Drosophila melanogaster: one gene and its partners. The gene in region 2 interacts genetically with the main gene of each other region. Each region holds a gene or a part of one and is shown on either strand. Other genes may lie near its edges. The genes, in order: NimC4, repo, klg and Tre1.

The links.
Region 1: of repo (region 2) and NimC4, changing one suppresses a phenotype caused by changing the other (phenotypic suppression), as found in Drosophila melanogaster (one study listed by BioGRID).
Region 3: of repo (region 2) and klg, changing one suppresses a phenotype caused by changing the other (phenotypic suppression), as found in Drosophila melanogaster (one study listed by BioGRID).
Region 4: of repo (region 2) and Tre1, changing one enhances a phenotype caused by changing the other (phenotypic enhancement), as found in Drosophila melanogaster (one study listed by BioGRID).

What each region holds. Positions count from the first base shown.
Region 1 is NT_033779.5:14,045,905-14,049,369, reverse strand, and holds NimC4 (nimrod C4), read right to left. Parts: upstream 1,789-3,465; 5' UTR 1,740-1,788; coding exon 606-1,739; 3' UTR 507-605; downstream 1-506.
Region 2 is NT_033777.3:18,234,604-18,240,115, reverse strand, and holds repo (reversed polarity), read right to left. Parts: upstream 3,925-5,512; 5' UTR 3,620-3,924; coding exon 2,697-3,619; intron 2,282-2,696; coding exon 1,366-2,281; 3' UTR 514-1,365; downstream 1-513. Other genes in the region: CG7156 (uncharacterized protein), read left to right, coding at 6-224.
Region 3 is NT_033777.3:22,897,711-22,902,322, reverse strand, and holds the start of klg (klingon), read right to left. Parts: upstream 3,040-4,612; 5' UTR 2,713-3,039; intron 1-2,712.
Region 4 is NC_004354.4:5,673,959-5,681,859, forward strand, and holds the start of Tre1 (trapped in endoderm 1), read right to left. Parts: upstream 6,020-7,901; 5' UTR 5,702-6,019; intron 3,001-5,701; exon of another isoform or gene 2,818-3,000; intron 1,527-2,817; 5' UTR 1,526-1,526; coding exon 1,372-1,525; intron 1,300-1,371; coding exon 1,154-1,299; intron 1,083-1,153; coding exon 982-1,082; intron 916-981; coding exon 813-915; intron 752-812; coding exon 264-751; intron 216-263; coding exon 8-215; 3' UTR 1-7. Other genes in the region: Gr5a (gustatory receptor 5a), read left to right, coding at 6,769-6,877, 6,943-7,203, 7,265-7,459, 7,527-7,795, 7,858-7,901. UniProt on the Drosophila melanogaster protein: Essential for the first active step of germ cell migration: transepithelial migration of germ cells through the posterior midgut (PMG) epithelium.

The DNA of each region.
Region 1 (3,465 bases), on a different chromosome or scaffold from region 2:
ATTTCAAATGTGTCTGTTCATTCGTCTGAGTATTTTTAGCCATTTTCAAGTTGGCTTGTTTGCTGATGTGCTGAGCATGAGCACTCTTGCCTCGAATGTTTATGAATATTTTATTTACATAAGCCAGTAATCAGCATATGAGTCCATATTGCTGCTAAGGGACTCACAATCCGTAAGCGAGATATGATGAGTAAAATGTTTGTTTAACGTTTTAAATTTATCAGCCACAAGTTATGAAGCGAACTATGAGAGTATCTAATAGTTTGTCAGATTTGTTAAGCCTCTTAAGCTCCTAACATTAATTTTTGGTCACGATAAAGATTGCCTATCCTAACTATCTTTTTGTAATGTTAAAGAACACCATTGAATTAGAACACCATTGAATAATTGTAAACATTTATATTATTATGCAATACAATTGGATTTGGCTGAGGAATAAAGCCCCTACATAATATATATACTATATATCCATTATATTATCTACCATTTAAAACAAAAGCAATTTAATTATGATACGCTTTATTCTCGAATGATTTAAATGATTAAAAATTAACAATCAATGTTGATATAACACAGCCCAACGCCAAGGGATGAACCTGACCCCTTCATGGCACCCACTCGTCCACATCCACTGTCTTCTGCGAATACTGGCACTCCATCTCCTTGTTGGCCAAAGCAGCCCGCTCCTGGCGATATCGTCTACCACCGAGGAGACCCACAATGAGCAGAACAAACAGGAATCCACAGGCAACACCAATGATGGGTATGGTCCAGGGATTCAGCTCATCGTCATCGTCGATAGCTTCGTTCAGCCCGAGAATTTGGTCGAGCAAAGTGCGCCGACAGCTGAGCACTCCAGTTGCTTCGCCACTCTCCTCCGGCACATAGCCATCGGAGCACTGACATACACCGGAGTCCAGGCATGTTTGATGCGGACCACAGCCGGATTTAAGGCAACCCACATCATTGCTGTCGAATTGCTTCTCGCGGCATTCGCCGCGGAACAGGACAAAGTCATCCGGACAGTGGGTGGCCGTGAATACTGCTGTTGAACTGGTGCTCGGCGAATCCGTATTGTCCTCGGTGGTCTCCAGTTCCTCAGAGATTGACTCTGCACTGAGCTCGATACACCTCTCTTCGGCCTTATCCCACCGATATCCGGAGTTGCAGGCACAGCGGTCCACATCGATGCACTTGCCATTGGCACAGCCATCGCCCACCCGGCAAACTGGGGCACATCCACCACTCACACCATCGTCAGTTGGCTGCAATTGGGTGTACCCGTCGCGACAGGCACATGTATTGGGCGTTACGCACTGAGCACCCGCAGGACATGGGGTCTCGCAGATGGGTTCACAGTAGTGGCTGCCATCCTGGTGATTTCTGGCTGACACGTAGCCGGAAATGCACTCACAGCGATCTGGAGCGGCACAACTGGCGTGGGCGGGACAGCCCCGACTGCAGATGGGCTCACACAAGCCGGACTCCACCTGCAAGTAGCCGGGGCAGCACTCCCTAACCAACCTGTGGGTGACTTGTTCCTCCTCTGAATCGTAGATCTCTGTGATCTTCTCAGTCTTCTTCCAGATCTTCCACTTGGATGGCTGCTTTACTATGATCCGCTGTTTGGTCACTGGCACTGTGGCTCGTATCGTCTCGTTCCTTTCGCAGTAATTATCACGCTCAGCGTTCGCTGCAATGGAACCGAGCACCAAAATCAGGGCCCAGATGAATTTCATTTTCCAGTTTGACTTGTCCGTTCGCAACTGCAGTCGGTACACAACTGAATTTTCCCAGAACAAGAAGTGCGGACGACAGCTAAGCTGGCCACGCAGGCAGTGGACTGCGGGGAGGATCGGCAGAGAATGCAGGCAGGCCACCAGATAGGACACAACAACATCCGCAGCTAGATACAATCGCTTTCTACACTGAAAACAATCTCATCGAGATGTTGCGCTAAGCCGAATCTTGCTGATATTCAAATAATTAATAAGGCATTGGACTTATTAAAATCTTGATAAGCTTATCAAAGGGTTAAATACATTTAATTTTACAACATATTAAACTTGTCACAATTTCGTTCAGTGCTGTGATCTCGGAGGGTTGCAGCATATCTGAGCCGCTGCCAAAGGTCACCACCGGATCTCTGATCTTTCTGACTTTGAACCTCCCCCCTCTTTATCACAGTGCACTATCTAAGAGTGTAGCTTTTCAGTTATTATCATAAAACCCGCTTTATAAGTTGCCCGCATAAAGACGTTGATAATGCTGAAAATAACATAACATAAAGATGTAATTGTTTTCCATTGAGAATCGTTGCCGATATGACTCACAAAGAGCGGAACTAAACGGTTTACATTGATGTATTTTTACTTCACGACTTCCTCCACATATAATAGAAAATAATAATCATTTTACACTATTGCGTTCTTTAAAAATTAGTCAGATTTTTTACGATTACTTCATGTCTCAACAATTTGTTCCCAGGATTTTTCCACTTAACTCTTATCAAGTGGTCCTTTTTTGGTACCTGCTTTTTTAGAATTTTACCTGTTCAACTAGCTGTTTTCTTCTAATAGAAACGAAAAATTGTACATTTTCCCAGCAGGCAAGATTTTTCTCTCCAATTTAATTGACAGAAATAGTTTCCGTATGGTAATTTTGGACCATTTGATTTTTAGAAACGGTGGGAAAACATAAAATCGAATGTCTATTATTAAACATCAAAAATGATAATGTAACATTGGAGAAATGTTATTCCTTTGTTTATCCATGTTAAAATACAATTTTAAAGTCAGTCTGCATAATATGCTTTTCCGTTTGACTTTCCACAGCGCCCGGTCAAGCAATTATCTCAATTGAAATATGATCCCCAAAGCGTTTAAGAGGTCACTCATTGGCAGGCTGAGCTTAATGCGCTTTTACAAAACGCAAATCAATTTGGCAGGATGAAACTCATAAATGTTTGAGCCACTTGAATAAATTCTGGCCCCCAGGAAGCCTGACGTCATTGGGCTGGTGGCAGTCGCACATTTGTTACTTTTGTCACGCTCGTTTCGAGTCGGGATCTCTGGGACAATGTTTTGTTGAGCACATTCACAGTGAACCCGAAACCCCATATATGTATGTGCATGTGTTTATATACAGAAACGAGTACATATAGATGGATGTGTGAGTATATGGGAACGAGTGTCAATGCAGGAACAGGCGGCGTATAGGGCACGTATCCTGTGCCGCAAAATGCTCCAACTCTTCGCCCCGCGGCCTGACTTTATGGAACATATGAACGGATGAATGACAGCTGACATAGAGACAAAAGTGTGTGTGACACAGTCACATTCTAATCTAAAATAATTGAATTGAAGTCAGATTGCAACTGATGCCTTGTTCCGTGTGTGTGTGTGTGTGTGCGTGTGCGTGGCTATGTATCTGTATCTGTATCGCACAGATAAAGATACAGATACG
Region 2 (5,512 bases):
TCCAGCCCTACAAAGTCACGCATCCCGGGCAACTGGACCTCTATGGTTGTGTTCAGTATCCTAGTGAGTCGTTGGAGATTTCCGATCATGCCAAGGATCTGCTGGAGCAACTGCTGCAGCTTTCTCCGGAGCTACGTTTGGACTACGACCAATTGCAGGCTCATCCATTCTTCAAAGGCATCGATTGGCAGGCGGTTTTGGAGCAGGGAACTGAGTCCATGTGAAAATAGGCACTATTTGCTTTGCTATTGAGTCCGTAAAGTATTTTCTTATTTCGTACTGTACCTGAAATCCCATTTGTGATTCCTTGCTCAGTTCTGATTGGCATTGATTTTGATTACTTTCAAAGAATCTGAAGTCGCTCCATAGCGATTAATTATGTTGTGAATCTGCTATATTATTTTCTATGCATTACTTTTAATACTTGTCTTCGAAAACAAGTGTATTAACCATCAGTTTTGTTTTTATGAGTCTTTTATGTTGTTCCTTTTTTGAATTGGAAGCTGATCAATTATTGGTACAAAATACGATTTATTTATACGTCTATTATATACATTTGCAAAGTGTCCTAGTTTATGTAATTGCTTACAATTAGAAATTAAACTAAATTGAATGTAGTTGTAACAAAATTTGCAAGCCATTTTACAAAATTAGTAAGTAATAAAATTTGTAAAGCCAAATGAGCTAGTATACAATATAAAAAGCACTTTATTGTCTAACTACAGCAAAAACAGCAAATGGAACTTAGTCTACGAGTAGAATAACTAAAACTAAGTTTGTTGGGCAACGAAGCTTTCCAATTTGGAGGGAGGTCACTCGTCACCCGTTTTGGTAAGGCACATTTGGAATGCATTCTGGGGGCGGGGCTCTCGTTGCAGAGCCCCTAGCCCTAGATTAACCTAGACTTAGACAGGCATAATAACCTCATTATGATTTGGCAAGACTTGTGGATTCCGTTGTTGTTGCAACTTGCGTCATTAAACCTAAAAGGAACCTATGGCAATATGAAAACAGTGGCTAGAAACTGTGTGGGACTGGCTAGAAAAACTCCAAGGGATTGGAAATATAAACTAAAAAAACAATATTATCAAATTAAATATAAAATTTGTGGACTCTCGCCAAATTTTTTGAAAGCAACTAGTTTTAAGTAATCCGATGATGAATTCTACTACTTATGAGGCTTTATCTTTGGGAATCCGCTTTTCTGGAGCCCCACTTTCAGTCGGAGAAACACAGTTGGAAATGCTGCACACGCCACGCCTCCATCCCTTCAAAATGGCCGACGGAAACGGGCGTTCGGCGTGCTGATGGGCGTGGCCCAGCGTCGCTGGTGTTGTTGCTGTCGCCGGTGTGTGAGCATTTCTCTCAGTGCAAAAAAGGCGGCAGGACGTAGCTCTGTCCCTGCTGCTGCTGCTGCTGTTGGGAGACCTCCTCGCTCTTGATCACAGTCTGCATGCCGCCGCTGTCGTTGTCATCGCTGCTGGTGCCGCCCGCGGATGCAGCTCCTCCCGTCGCCGTGGTCACATAGTGCTGGCCCTGCGCCTCCACCAGATGACAGCTGGCGCCGGGACTTAGCTCCAGACCACCTCCACTCTGATGGCACTGCAGGTGCACGTATTTGGCCTCCTCGGCGCTCAGGTACTTGCCATTGAGTTGCTGCTGCTGCTGCTGCTGCTGTTGGTGGGCATGGACGGTGACCAGTGTGCCGTCGGCCAGTTGCTGCTGCTGGGCGGTCTGCAGTTCCGCCGTCTGATAGCTGCCGCCATTGGCCACCGACTCATCTCCGTTTCCGGCCACCGAACCGGTTGTGGCGCCCATTTCCATGCGCGTGGGACTACCGTACTCGTAGTGACGCATCGGGAAGAGCTGGCTTTCGTGCACATAGGCACCGTACTGGCCGGAATAGGTGCCATACGGACTGGCCGCCGGCGAGAGCAGGCTGAACTGGGGCGTCAGTTCGTAGGGCGTCTGGTAGCTGGTCCAGCTGTCCATGCTGCCCGGCGGCGTGACCGTCGTCGTCTGCGGGTAGCTAGTGAATGGTGGGGCTAGGGTTCCGGGATTCAGTGTCGCCGTCGGCGGAGTGCTCGTCTTGATGTAGCCCGTCTTGCGCGGTGGCTCGTGCTTGCGCCACTTGGCCCGTCGGTTCTGGAACCACACCTGCACACGGGATTCGCTCAGATTCAGCTTGATGGCCAGCTCCTCGCGGGCGAAAACATCCGGATACGGAGCACGTTCAAAGGCACGCTCCAACTCCTCCAGCTGGTAGGCAGTAAAGGTGGTTCTGAAGGTAAAAATGGAAAGTATAGAGGATTAGATGAAAGTCTGAATGGGATTCATACAGTTAGTTGGTCATATAATAGGGATTAAAAAAAGGGAAAAATGAAAAAACCCATAGTATCTATTTATATTACAAAAAAGTTCTAAACTGAAACTATATTTTAGAATATTAGAAAATTCTATAGAGATAACCATGTTCTGTGGATCTATCTATCTGCTATCGGTACTCATTATTTAATAATTAGCCCCCCAGATTGCACGGGTTTCCGTGCGAGTTGCTAGCAATGTCCTTACTCCAAATTACTCATACGCCCCGTGGTCACGGTCATAAATAGCAAGTGCTATCATCTTGTGCCACATAATTTCATTGATTTCCCGTCGTTAAATTAATTGACAGCGTAGCAGCTTCGACCGCTTACCTCGTCTTCTTCTTCTTGATGCCATTGGGATCGCCCTTCTTCTTGCTGCTGCTTCCGTCCTTTTTGGCTGCAGGAGCTGCCACGCCCCCCGCTGTGCCCGCCGCCCCCTGAATGCCGACGCCAGCGGAGGAGGAGGAGTTGGCGTTGCCAGTGCCATTGGTGGTGCCATTAACCACCGTGGAGGAACTACTTGGCGGAGTAACTCCAGCACCACCCGCCTCCAACTGCGAACACATCTCATCGGGCTTCTTTAGCTTGCCACCAGCGGATCCTCCGTTGATCATGACGGGCGAGGAGTCCTGGAGCAAGCCATCACTGCCATGATCCAAATGGTCCAGATGATGCGGACTGCCGCCGTACAGATGCTGCAGCTGCTGCGGCTCGTACTGATCTTTGGGCGACGAGGAGTAGTCCAGCTTGCCATTGAGCGGATGATAGTCCAGGATGCCCACCAGCTGTTGCTGCTGCTGCTGTTGCTGCTGGGAGGATTGCTTGTGCAGCAGGATGCCATTGTGGCTGGGCGGGGGCGTGGCCGTGTAGTGCTGATGATGTTGATGATGATGCTGCTGCTGCTGCTGCTGCTCCACCAGTTTTTGCGGCGCACTAATGTACTCGTACTTCTGGCTGGGCGAGTAGCAGCCCATCTTGTTGACAAAATCCAGCTTGGTCACATAGTTGGGCGATCCTCCAGCGCCGCCAGATCCTGCTCCTCCTCCTCCGCCATTCGGCAGTATGGTGTTGCAGTCGGGCAATCGTTGCTGCTGCTGCTGCTGCTGCTGTTGGCTGCACAACTCGTGGACACTGCCCAGCATCACGGGATGCATGGCCGTTGTGGTGGGCATCAGTGGCTTGGCGCCCAGTGGATTGAGTGGCCCGCCGCCGAACTCCCCGAAAATGGGATCATCGAAGCTATCGTGTTCCATTCTCCTCCACGACTTTAATCCTTGGAACGCACAGTAACAGCACACAAGACACACTAACTAGCTAACAACACTTTTGCCACTGCGACACTTTCAATCCATTTAGTGTATTATTTGGTTGATTTTCAACTCGATTATCGCTGCTGAGTTTCCAAATCAATCAGTTGTTAATTGCATTTGGCAAGCACATAACTGGGCTGCTGTTGCTACTTTTCTATCGGTTAGGATGTTGAATATATATATATATATATATGTATATATGGGAGTAGAGCCGCACGCTCACCGCTCGAGTCTTTGGCCTTAATTGACTCGGCTACTGGCGATGATTGTCCTTTTATACCGGCGCAGGCGGCAGCGCAGCAGCAGCGCTGGCAGCGACCAATCGCATCGCTCCATCGGCCGCCACTATCGCCGTGCGAGCGGGACGGCGCATGCGAACGCCGCTCTGTGCGTTTCATGCTGGCGTGTGTGACTTTTCCGCTTGCCCAGCGATTCGACGATTTTCCATTCAGCGGGGTGTGGTCTCCCCTACTTTGCGATTTTTTCTTCTTTTTTCTGTTTTTTTATTTTTGACTGGGTCTAGCTGCCTGGGTCCAGTTTTTGGTCTTCAGCTTCGCGGGCACACGGCTACCAGCAGATCGAGATGTTCTGGGAACGGAAGAGCACGACGGGATGATGGGGTCCTGGGAACCGGGACTTGCATCTCTACTGGCTCTCAGTTCTTAGAGCGGATTTAAGGACTCTAATGGCACGCTGATCTTATTGTTATCCTACTATTGAATTATGTTTTATTTATAATGAGGATATAGAATCATGAAAGCATAGTCATATTAGGAGATATCATATAAATGAACTGATTGTGTTCTGTTACCATGCAGTTACAAACTATCGCATACCTATTAATAATAATGTATGGTACAGAAGATAATCTATGGTATGATCTATGATTCGATATATGGAGATAAGGTATCTATAAGATTGGGGGCCGAAATAAGAAGAATGTTGAACGATTTGAAGGATTAAGTTTATGTCTGGTATATATACTATACTATCTTTTCAAATGTTTTCGATTTCAGAACCGTTTATCAAACTAGTGGGAATAGTTATAGCCATATTAAAGCATTCAATTTTGGCGAAGAGATGAAAATTACTATGCTGCTTTCTAATCGTTCTAAAGATCGTATCACAGATAAAACCTAAAAAGGGGGGTTTTTAACATCCACTATATTTCCATATGCACTTATGTATGTACAATCCCAATTTAGCGGCTTCTTGTTGGCAATCCATTGATACAGATTAATTTCGCCCAAAGTTGAGAGAGCCCATCTATTTCGCGTCCACCTCATGGTCATCGCTATCCGTAACAATGCACCTTCATCGTCACACATGTTGGACGAACAATTAACTTCTAGCCGAGGAATTCCGATGGTCGTGGTTCCAATTGGACTCATGAGGGTGGTTCCATTCGAGGTTGCAACCCCTGTAAGGCAGCGACTTGGTGGCACGCTTGTGACCTTCTTCTTCCACTTCAGCCCGTTTCCACACCCTGATCGCTCGATCTTCCCACAGCGCGTGTCACCCTCTCAAGGATTGGCATGCTCCCCTTTCCTCCAGTCCGCTGTTGCGTGTGACCTTTTGGCCAGATGCTGGTACTTCGATCGCGCCGAGGTGGGCACTTAGTCAGGGGCTAAGTTATGGCTCATTTGGACAGATCCGAAGATTTCACGGAGCATTTGAATGGGAAGTGGGAAGAAGGCTGCCGAATCATGTGGGCATTGCAATCGAAGAGGGTGAAAGTGGGTAGAGCTATACATTCATTGGGATCGGTGATCTTTAAGAGTTACTTATTTAGATATTTACTTAAAAAACCCATATGAAAATATTTCTAACATATTC
Region 3 (4,612 bases), 4.7 Mb from region 2:
GTGACAGCGATGGCATCAGGAAACTTTGAATATTTCTAAGCAATACGTTCCTCTTAAAGTTCGCCATCGCTGTCATGAAATTGGTATTGATTTTTCAGCTTTATCTCGATGGCCCGCGGAATATGAGTACACAGAGATATCACGTTACGCCCGGGCCATAATTAAAATGTTAAAAATGTGGTCACGGAATCTTCGGAAGCCTCCGCTATCTGGCTTTTAATGGGCGATGTCGTAAATGATATGGCCACCGCATTGAATTTCCAATGAATAGCGTGGATGGTGGTTTGCACGATTTTGGGTGGCTCTGGCGGCTTAGATGGCCTGTGGTGCTGCGTTGTCACCTTGACAACCACTATGGAAGAGCTCGTTAGCCAGCTTAGCTACAATTTATCTCCTGCAATTGGCGACCCGCAACCACAGCCATCAGCACTCAGCACAAAGCTCCTCTGGCCGCCTAATCGCATTCAATTAACACACAACACACAGCACATAGCACAGAAAAAGCCAAGACAAAAAAAAAAATAAAAAACTGGGCTTGAACGCAACTTCTTGCCAAAGGCAAGACAATGCTGAACTGGAGAAATGCTCGTAAGAATAAGACCAAGTCCAAAGTGCATGGCAGAAAAGCAAATCCAACAAAGTTGTTATTGCTTTTGTTTCGGCTGGTCGAAAGGCGTTTATAAATTACTTAAAGCGCTTAAGGCCGGAGAAAAGAAAACCCGTCTAAAGGGGATGGAAAGGGGGGGGAGCCAACAACTTGTGGCGTGACCGAGGCTTCGAACTTCGAGGGAAGCCAATCCCGGCAATATGTTCGCCGATTTTCCTATTGCCTTGGCCATCTTGGCTGCTGAGCAGATTAAAGCGTATCGTGTAGCAGCAAATCCAAACCGCAAGCGGCCAACAAAGGAGGAGGAAATCGAGGAAAACTGGCGGTGGGAAAGCGGAAAAGCGGGCAAGCACTGGGAAAGCCTACCAATTGAATATCAATCAACTTTTGGGGCGTGCGTGTGCGTTGGCAAAAAGGAGCTGAAACAAAGGAGCCATTCAAGTGGGTGTGGGTGTGGATTTGTTTTTGGATGTGGGCACGAGCCAAGTGAAGTGGCCTTGCCCCCCTTCTCCCCTCTCCAAAACCAAACTCCCACCCCCTCCCATAATGGAATTAAAACTGGCAATTTCGGAGCAAATTGCTTGATAGGCTGTCTTGTCTTGCAAGTGTTATGGCTGCTGCACAGGAAAAAATCTGTAATCGGATTACTCTGGCATTCATAAAGTATATTTCAAACAAGTTTTTTGCTCATCTGCTAATTGCCAAAAATTGAGAAGTGCCCAGAAAGTCTGGCTTTTTAAATCTCTTTTAAATTTGTGAAAAATGTTTGCCTGGACTATTTGTATTTAGTGCTTTTTCTTATTGATAAACCTGTGTTGATACAGACTACCGATGGGGTCCTGAATAAATCTAACTGTCATATTTTCTCTCAGTGCTCCGAATCGCTCGCACAATTGGCATTGTAGAAGCGCGTCTAACCGAATTAGGCAACACAAATCAATTGCATTAAATGGCAGGCAGCGCGTGTCTTCGCCCCTTTGGGGCTGCCAATGCCTGTGTGGTTACGATTCCGGCTTCCCTTTTTCGATTTTGCGAGCATTTTAGCATATGAAATTGGTGTACACGTCTCGAATGCGGAATACTTGCAGGTTAACCAAATGCCAGAAACAATTGTGATGTCCTGAACAGGCAGCCAAATAAATGCCGACGAACAGCTGCAAACGACTTATTTATGCCACAGAAGAACTCGAAGCCCCATCCACAGCGCCATCGTATGATATCCCTATTATCGTTTGCTTCTCCGGGATTAAGTCTGCCTGGATCTGGATCCTAATTTACACAGCTTCTGGGTATTTACCTCTTCTTTCAGGGACGCAAAACTTTTGCCCAAATGAGAAGAAGTCGGCAGGAATGCCTTTCGGCGAATGCTCTTAAGTATTTAAATTCAGCGGATTTTTATGAAGCTTTCGCTTTTCGCCATTGCATGTGTTTATTTCATTTCTCATTTTCACAAACATTTTCCCACCAGCACACCCACACACACACATACACATATATACAACTAAGGACGCCACATGCCAAGTTCTACTTCATTTCATGTCGGCATTTGCACATTTTCCTTATTTTTCCCACTTGGTGTGTATGTGTGTGTGTGTGTTAAGGGAAATTTTGTTATACTTCTGGTTTCTGAAGGCGGCTTCTTGCAAAAAACAAAAAAAAAAAAAAAGAACAAGAGGAAAGTGCGACTTGGAAGCCACCGCAAAACAATGAAAATTGGTTTTGTTACTTTGCTTACTTTCGCAGACTCTCTTCTTGGCTAAGACCGTTCGGCGGTTGAGCCCTTGGCGGTGGCTTTTATTGCCCGCCCTGTTATTGTTGCTTTATTTATTTGGCAGCTGGCTGGGGTAAAGGAGCCACAAAGCCACCCAACCACCCACCTGGGCTCCTAGCCATCGTATAACACAGCCAACCATATAGCGAAGCTACCACTTCTGCCGCTGATGGCTTTGAGTATTATCGCATAAAATCCAAAATGTAAACACTGGCTCAAGTCGAGTCCTTGCAGCACGTACACGTTTATATTCTAAGCGACATTCGGTGCCAATTTGAATATTTCAGTGCGAACAGCTCCCACAAGAATTCACTAATATGCTGCAAATTATTACCTGCGCCAGCGGCACTGGAACTCATGTGACGAGCGATCGTTTTCGGTTTTATTATCCTTAAAGTTTTTCACTTTTATATCTTATTGGCTTAGTTTATTCACTTGGCTTTGTTTTAGTTAGTTGCAGTCTGAGAACTGCTTGCTTTTAGGTTAGCACACTGCACAAATAACTATTATCTTGCAGCTAGAATCCTTTTCGCTGGCACAGCTGATGTCCTGCTGGGTCTTTTGGCTTCAGCTTCAGGATTTCTGCTCCTGCTGAAAAACACTTAGAACGAGTCGCGCGCGATTCGTGTCAACTGCGTCGAAGGGTTCACTTTCAACTGAAACACTGCTGGCCGTTCGCCGTCGTTTCTCAGCGCCCTGCATTCGGGTTCGGCTCAACACTTCGTGTTGCTTCGGTGCACTTCGGCTACGCCCACGAGGCCACCCGAGCGACGATGAGAGAGGGCACTGCTCAGAGAGCGAAAGATGGCTGGCTCTCTCCCAGTTCGCCTCAGGACAACTGTGCCACGGCGAAATGGGCATTACCAACTCAAGTTGTTAGACACTAGGCTGCGCTGCCCTGGCTTTGGCCATAAAACATAATTAACAGTTTTGTTTACAAAAGACAATAACAAAATACAGTACAAATATCGTTTATTTGGATTGTTCTTTCTTTTTACTTAAATTCGTGTACTCACACTCTTTTTTTTTTGAAACTGATACTTAAACAACTGATTTAACTATTATCTTATTTTGAAGGTATGACATATGACAGCTTGAAATTCAAACTTTTACAGCAAGTACATTTTACATCAAATTTTTCATTTTTATCATCCAATATTTTGCTTTTGCGATTTAAATAACTTTTAGCCACTTCTCAGCACAAGCCACATATAATAAATTGATCATGTAATGCTGTCATATCATGTTGTTCACCTGTCGCTTAAAGCTATTTGAGCTCAGCAGTCACTCTTCGTCAGCTTTTTGCCTAGAGAGAGGCATATGAAAACTACCCCTATCATATTTTTCGCCACGAATGCCACTCCGAATTTTGCTCCGAAACGAGGGGCTGACTTCAGCCTTTGTTGCTGGAAGCGTGGTGTTGCTGGAAATCGGCTGGCAACATTCGAACTGCTTTGGCAACATTTCGAAGTGGGAGACAAATTGCGGCATGTCCTGCTAGTTTCGGTGAGTGAAAGTTACGCGACGAGTTCCCAGGTGAACGCAACGCTGTCACTTTTCACATGAGTTAGAGCTGGAAAATCAAGTTATCGAGGCGTGACCACCGAGGGCAGGCTCGCGTGTAATTAAAACTAAACAGCAGGAACAACATCAACATCAACATTTGCACCAGGGGCATTGGGCAGCAACCACCCACAGGTCATCCGGATAACTGTAAAAAGCGATTCAGCAGTTTGTACGGCGGAAAACAAAGGGAAAACCAACCATCCCAACCGACAGAGCAGCAGGCATTACGCTGATGACGAAACCGAATACGGAAGTCCATAAGTCAGGATTAAAAACGTCGGCAGTGGCGGCGAACACGCAAAATATGGCGACAACAACCTGGTCAAAAGGAACTTATGTCCAACAGGAGATGTCCTGAAATTAATTTGAATATTTTCCAACCGCTTTTCCCCCGCGACCGCTTGCCCTTGGCCCTTTGTCACTGCTTTTGTTTCAGCTTTTGTTTCAGCTTTTGTTTCAGTTTTCGCTCTTGTAGCAACGGGGCTTTTGACTTCATTAGAAGTAATGGCGAAATCTGGCTGAAAAGTGAAAAACAGGAATCTGTCCGCGTTCCACGCTCCCCACCTCCCCCCCTCCATTCAACTGTCAGCGACGCAACGCAACGGTTATAAAATTCCAAAATATGCACATAAAGACATAATCCTCAACCTCCGCCTCGCCCATCCCAC
Region 4 (7,901 bases), on a different chromosome or scaffold from region 2:
AGCTCGATCATACTGAATATGTTTGGCACATTTGGTTAATACTATTCTTCTGCACAGCGTGAAACAGCGGCGTGCTGCGGATGACGCCCGACAGCTCCTTGGAGTTCTTGCTTTGGTGATAGTTTCTACTCGGCATCGGCGACAACGGTTCGCCCCAGAACTTGAGCAGCGCAAAGATCTTGTAGTAGGCCACTCTGAAATAGAAGATAGATTCGCTATTAGCAGCTAAACCCGATAGCAGCCAAAACTGCCAGCAAACTTACCTGTAGTTGCGATTGCTGGCCGCATAGATGATCGGGTTAATGACACTGGAAGCCCAGGCCATCACGGAGGCGATGATGTGCAGCCAGGGGTACGAGGTATTGCGCTCGTCGTCCACCACATTGGCCAGCATTAGCGGCAGGAAGCAGACGAGGAAGCACAGAAAGATGGTGACCATCATGACGGTCAGTCGATTGTCTTCGCGCGCCTTGCGCGTGCATGTGGTGGTCATGTAGGATCCGCCGCCGGACGACGAGGAGCCCTTGGCCGCTGCGATCTGGAAGTTATCGTGGTTGCGAATCTTCTTTTTCTGGTGCAGCACCGTAATGTAGATGCACGAGTACGAAACGATGATCACCAGGCAAGGCAGCAGGAAGCCGATCACGAACAGCGTCTTCTTGATCGATCGCCCCTCCTTCTTGAGTATTGTGCAGGAGAAGGTGGCCTCGTCCAGGCCCATCTCGCCCCAGATGCCCAATATGGGCGGCAGCTGGGAAGATAAAAACCGATTAGTTGAATGTGTGCACACAAATCGAAGACGCCTTACTTACCAACAGCAGAAAGGAGACGGCCCAAACGAACAACAGCTGCAGGGTTATGAACTTAGGCTTATATATCTGCGAGTAGCGGCTGTGGCAAGCGATGAGTATATATCTGCCAGGGGATTAGGGTGACGGTTGCGGATTAGCTTGCGACAATGCGGACTAGACTTGGGCCTACCTGTTCAGGGTGATGCCCACCATGCTGAGGAGTGAAACAGCCACATTGCCATAGAAGATCACCGGAAAGATCTTGCACAATGTGGTACCAAAAGTCCAGCTCTGTCGTTGGAATCGAGCAAATTATAATCATTCACTAATTGTATATTACATTCACAGGTATAATGACTCACCTCCTGGAAGAATCGCACTGCGGTCAGTGGCAGGCTGAAGGAGCAGAAGAGCAGGTCGGAGATGCTTAGCGAAATGACGAAGGCGGTTGTGGCATGCTCCCGTATCGTGGGGCTCTTGAGCAGCGCCAGCAGGGTAATCAGGTTGCCTGTGCGGCAATTCAGCATAGAGAAACAGGTTAGCTAATCGAGGAGCTGAATGTGGGATGCCAATTACTCACCAAGAACGCCGATCGTCACAAAGACACAGGCACTAATGGCCGCGAATAATGTCGCCGAATGCGGGTAGATCGATTGCGTGGCGGCCGCCGGTTCATCCATCTGCATGTCTGCGTCCTGAAAGTAGCCCGTTGCCATGCCCATGTCCTGATCCATTCTGCGGGGGAAACAAGCAAACGATGTGATTAGCCAATTTCAATTACTTATTTTTGAACAGGAAAAGGAGCTGTATCTTTTAAATTGGTTGCATTCAAATCGCTTATGCTAATCCTATTGTTTTTTTTTTTTTAATTTGTTAGCCCGTATCATGAGTAATTAAAAAGGAAGTTAATAGCCGGATGTAGACAACTCAATATGCATCCGCTTGGTTATTTGAAAACAATTAACTTATGAAGAGAAATGAATGAAATTACCATTCCTAATTGCCCAGAAGCATGATGCTTTTGTTAAGAAGGGATTGTTAAGAATTTAACTATCTAAACGAACTAATGTGTACATTTCTGTGCTCCGCGATAAAGGAAATGTAATCAGCAAAATCAAGTTTCAGGCGCGTGGAAAATCTGTGAATGAATGAACGTACGAGTAATACAAAAAGATAACTAATCACCGCTTTGCGGATGCAATAGCCCAGTTTTGTCGTCGGTGACACCGAGTAAAAACCCGATCCGATCGACGGGATTAGCGAGGAAGTCTGCGTACTCCCACCAGCTTATCGCATCCGAGACATTTGATTTATGTAAACGGATTTTGTTATAAGATTTCTGCCGAGCCAAGCTGGCCAACTGGCGAATCGTAATGATCGAGCCGGTTTGCACGCCATTTGAATTCACATTTGTACGAATTTTTTTTTTATCAAAAGTTCGAGTTTTTCACCAATTTCCTCATCAACCGAGCAAGGCAAACGGCTTTGAATAATATGGTGTTATATATACATATATCAAATCGCTGCTGACTGCGTGATTGATGGCCCCAAGATTACATATTATCGAATCAGGATTCAGAAGGAGATCAATGTCAAATGCGGACAGGAACATGAGAGACGCCTGTTATGCGCAATTAAAAATTTGGGTTTAATTGCTGTGGAAACTGTTGTTGGTGGCATCTTAAGTTCCTGTTTAACAACATCAACTACTTATGTACGTAGAAGCGTTTAAGCCATTTGCATACAGATGAGAACTGGCTTTTGTGCTAATCAGCCAAGATGACTCCGATGATGATGACTCATTACCTGACCAGTTTTCGCTGCTTTCTTTTCAACAACTACTTGTATATGTATTGTATCCAATAGCAATACATTGGATTTCCATGGTCTAGTCACGTATTATCATTTAATTGACGCCAAGTCGTGTTATTGTTGAGCTATCGAGTTCAGCTCAAACATTTCTTATTCCCATGAATAAGCCGGCAAAAATATGCAATCTATGAAAGTTAATATAAGCAAACCTTACTTTGACTCAATACCAATGCACTTTGTGTCGATAGGTTCACGCAATTGAGGCGATTATTCCGATAACCCAAGCGATTGACTGTTCCCGTTTCGATTCCAATTGAAATTTGGAAATGTACAATAGTTTTGCTATATGCTGTCAAGTACGCTCTTATCTTCTCTGGGTTTTCTTCAGAGTTTCGAAACGCTTCTTCTTTTTTTTGTTTTTTTTTTTTTGGAATCTCGTATTTTGGAAGGGGCTCCCCTCTGGAATTTGTTACACTGTCGTTATCATTGCGAACAAGCGGCCCGAAGCTATCAGCGACTTTAACATTTACAATGCACTTTTTTACGACCAATTAAATGTACATTTTCCTTTCTTCGCCCGTTGATAAGCGAACGCGATGTGGCGCAGGCAATGTGTTGCTCTTGCGACACAAACGCAATCAAAATGGATTCAATTTCGCTTTTTCCCAGTGAAACGAAGAACGAACCGACCATCATGATATGCTGCTCTGCATGTTGCGTATTGAATCAATGACAATTTCAATTAAGCCGCCCGTTCGTCATGCGTTTTCGTGGGCTTCGAAATGCTGATAACGCTGCTGTCCTCCAACTGCTTTGCATGTGGACACAATTCCATTTATTTAATTCTTTTATTTGGATCGGTTAAATTAAAAAGCGCCTTGTTACGCATTTAACGTTGTTTCCGGTGCGTGGTGGTTTCATGCTTCTGGGAACGGCAAATGGGTTTAGGATTGGGAACCCCTCATCATCCGTCCAAATATGGGGAGTTCAAGGAATGGAGGGGGGAGGGGGGGAGGGGGCGGAGCAGCGGTCCGCTTTCATGCATGATCAACATGTGTGTTTGTTTTCCAACTCTATGTGAGTTGTTTCAGTTCTTTTCGGTCTCCTCGGTTCTACTCAGTTCGTTCTTACTTTCTGGCTTTTGTTTCCGAATAGGGGGAGCGCATCGGGCCGCAACTGGAAATGGAAATCTGAATATGCATCCCGGAGCATCCCGTCCGAAATGAGCACCATGCGCCATGCCGTTTCGTTTAATTCCCTACCCATAAATGCGTGTCCAAACAGCAGAGGGCATTTCAAGAGGTCCAACTATTAGCTATGTGCATATATAATTCTCTAGATATATTAATTCAGCTAAAGTGCTAACCGCGAGTGTGCCGCCAGTTGCCCCTCAACAGTTTGCAACGATGATGATGGCACAGATATCAGAGATAACACTCAGATCGCGCCCCTCACAAGTATGCTCATTATGTACATTCATATGTACATATGTACACACAGCTAAGCACATAAGGAATACGATATGCGCTATGTACATATATACATATTTACATCAAAGTCTTATCAGCCTCGGGTTCCCACCGTCCAAAAAAAAAGGCGGAACGAAGCTTTATAAATAATCAATCAACAAATATTTACAATCAAGTATTTATGTAGCGGGCGGAAAGTCGAATGCAAATAAGGTTAGACGCATTTGTACATATGTATTTTCTTAAAGGGTTCCTCTGATCAATATCTGCCCGTTTTTATCTAGCCCCGTTTATAAGGCTGTGAATGCCCCGATTGTGTTGGTCGTGATATCAATTAAATCGGCATAATCTCATGTCATCTTTTTAAACATTATGATAGATAAAATGTATTATAACGACTCTAATTACATTGGGATTAAATGGGTTTTCGGAAAATACCTATGCAGTAAATCAAATTTAAGATCAATGTGCAGTTATTTGGGGTTTCTTGAGTTAGGACCTCTGTTTTAATATTGAGAATTACTCGATATTATCTTCCGTTTTATTTTATTTTCTGATCGTGTCGGTGCACGAGAAATACATATTTCCCACTTTTGTTGCATTTCGCTGACTAATCGAAAGCTAAATACCAAATAAGTTTCCGATATGGGGGGTATGTATGTACATACATACATATATAGTACGAGTATATATAATATACACTGAATAAGCCCGAGCATACATATGTACATATGTAGATAGTGCACATGTGTATTGTGGATCGTTTTGGAGCTGGGTTTTTCTTTGCTTTTCGTCGTTTTTAAGAGACTTGAGCTGAATGAGTCGCTACCAACTGTTGCGGTGGGTTAAAGGGTGGGGGGAGGGGGCGAATGGGGATGGGGGATGAAGATGATGATTCATGCAGCTGATGTTTGGACAGGGAAGAAAGAAAGAGCGAAAGAGAAAGCAAATCGGAAGCGGCGGTATCAAACAATCTGTTTAAATAACAACAAAAGACTTTATAAGCCTGACTTTCATTTCCATTTCCAATTTATTTTTCCCAAGTCTGGCTCATTTTGTGCAAATAAACAAATGACTCATTTGTTTAAAAATTCGATGAGACTCAAGGAATGTCACATTCACAAAAATTTTCAATTTGAAATCTGAAAAGATTCAACAGCATAAGCAAATGAATTTAAGATTGCGATATTTGGGTATTATCCTTAATTGGCTGGCTGCCTAATGTAGATTTGTTTTTCTCGGTGTACCGATGCATCCTCTTTGCCCATCCACTTCTTTCTCCCCTCTTTGCTGATTTTTTTTTTTTTTGTTTTGTGAGAGGGTGGAATTCGGGATTTGGGATGTGAGCGAGAAGGATGGCCATATTTTGAATTGTGGAAACAGCCGTTCCATTATCGTTCCATTACAAATGCACACACACACACACACACACGCGCGCGTGCAGTTTGCGCTTCTCTGTGTGTGCGTTTGGACCAAATGCAATAACAATAAAAACGCGCAACTCAAATTGTTAACAAAGGTAAGGCCGTTTTTTTGGCCGGATTTGGATTCTGGTCTTGAAAGAGAAACACACACACACACACACGCACGCAAAAAACCAACGAAAATAATAACAAAACAACAACTCACCCGAACTCGAACCCGTTTCACTGTTTTCCGCTTATTATAAATTTATACTTCGTTTGGCGTTTCTTAAATGCTTTCGAATTGCATTTTGGATTTGACATTAAATCGCTCCGCGCAGCACAGTAACAAAAATAAACGGAACAAAATAAATACAACCAGCCGATTCTGGCCTTCTCACAATTCCGACTTTTGAATTATCGAAACAGAAGCGCTGCTTGGGCCAACTAAGCCAACTTAACTAACCGATCGCAGAGCGCAAAGTGTCGTATTTTCACTGTCGTCAATTAACAACAGCGGCAACAAGAACAACAAACGAAATGAGCGGCTGGGCTACAGTTTTTTAGTCCGAGCGCGATCGAACATGTTGGCTGCCTGGCAACAAGTTCGATGCGAACTTTTCTATTGATCTAAGAAATCGGCGTTCTATCGATTGACGCGCTGCGCAGGCGCCTATCGATTTTTGAAATTCTAAGCCCGCCTTAAAGGATATTTGTAGAAAAGTAGCTTGCAAAGAAATTAAATTCCTTGAAATAAAAAAGAAATTTAGTACTCTCGTTCTATACTCACTTCTATTCACTTGCGGTTAGTTAGTTAGTTTTTAATGCCACATTTTTATGATGATGACTTTTTTTCAGCTCATCTATGCGCAATCAATTTTGCGCCAAGCGACAGCTGCACATAGTTTCTTTTGACCAAGCAATCATTTATCATATAATTTTCCAAGTAGTAGTGCCAAGTTCATAACTGATGGAGTGTGCTGCCAATTTGCATGTTGTGGAGCCATTCAGTTTCAAGGTCGCGCTAATTAAATACTCGTTACAAGTGATGCCAAATGTATAAATATTTGAACAGAACGTATTAAATTAATATTATCCACTAAGAGCACTATTTTAAATTCTTAAAAACCAGATGCACGTCAAATAGATGTACATAAAAAGTATATTTACTTACAAATATCATACACGGACCTGTTTTATTCCTCATCACTGGCCATTAGTTGATAACATGTGGACTTCTATGATATCCTGCTGCATTTTTGCCGTTTAGTCAGGATTTAGAGCTTGTACACAATGCGACAGCTGAAAGGGCGAAATCGGTGCAATCGTGCTGTTCGGCATCTGAAAGTTCAGGGCAAGATGTGGTTGAAAAATCTTAAAAGCGGTTTGGAACAAATTCGAGGTGAATCTATCCAAATCGTTAGAATCCCATGAGTACGTTCATCTTAATTACCTTTTACAATCCAGAAAGCCAGGTGCGGGGAACGCGAAAGAACTTCCTACACGATGGCTCCTTCCATGAGGCAGTTGCTCCAGTTCTGGCGGTGGCCCAGTGCTTTTGCCTAATGCCCGTGTGTGGAATCAGTGCTCCAACGTACAGGGGATTAAGCTTCAATCGGCGCAGCTGGCGATTCTGGTACAGCTCCTTGTACCTCTGCTCCACGTCGGTGGATCTGGCCTTCAGCATTCGCCGTGTGGCCCACAGTGTGCTGGATGTGCGCAGTGTGGGTGAGATTAAATGATGCTTTTCTTCGCAACATACCAATTGCATATGTTAATTACCATTTAGAGCCCATCGTTTTTCACGTTAGCATCCTGATCGCCTCCTGGCAGTTCCTGAACCTGGCCCAACTCTGGCCTGGATTGATGCGCCACTGGGCGGCGGTGGAGCGACGGCTACCGGGCTACACCTGTTGCCTGCAACGTGCTCGTCCTGCCCGTCGCCTCAAGTTGGTGGCCTTCGTGCTGCTGGTAGTTTCACTGAGTTGGGTCACCAAATTTGTTTGGGTTTGGATTTCGCTGAGTATAACCGGGCGTGCTTTTTTTTCCAGTGGAACACCTGCTGAGCATCATTTCGGTGGTTTACTACGACTTCTGCCCACGAAGAAGCGATCCCGTGGAATCCTATTTGCTTGGCGCCAGTGCCCAGTTATTCGAAGTGTTCCCCTACTCCAACTGGCTGGCTTGGCTGGGCAAGATCCAGAATGTGCTGCTCACCTTCGGCTGGAGTTACATGGACATATTCCTAATGATGCTGGGCATGGGTCTCAGCGAGATGTTGGCCAGGCTGAACCGCAGCCTGGAGCAGCAGGTGCGACAGGTGGGCTAACTAACTAACTTTCCTAACACACATCCATCATGATCGAGGATGGATATTTATAGCCCATGCCGGAAGCCTATTGGACGTGGTCACGCACTCTTTATCG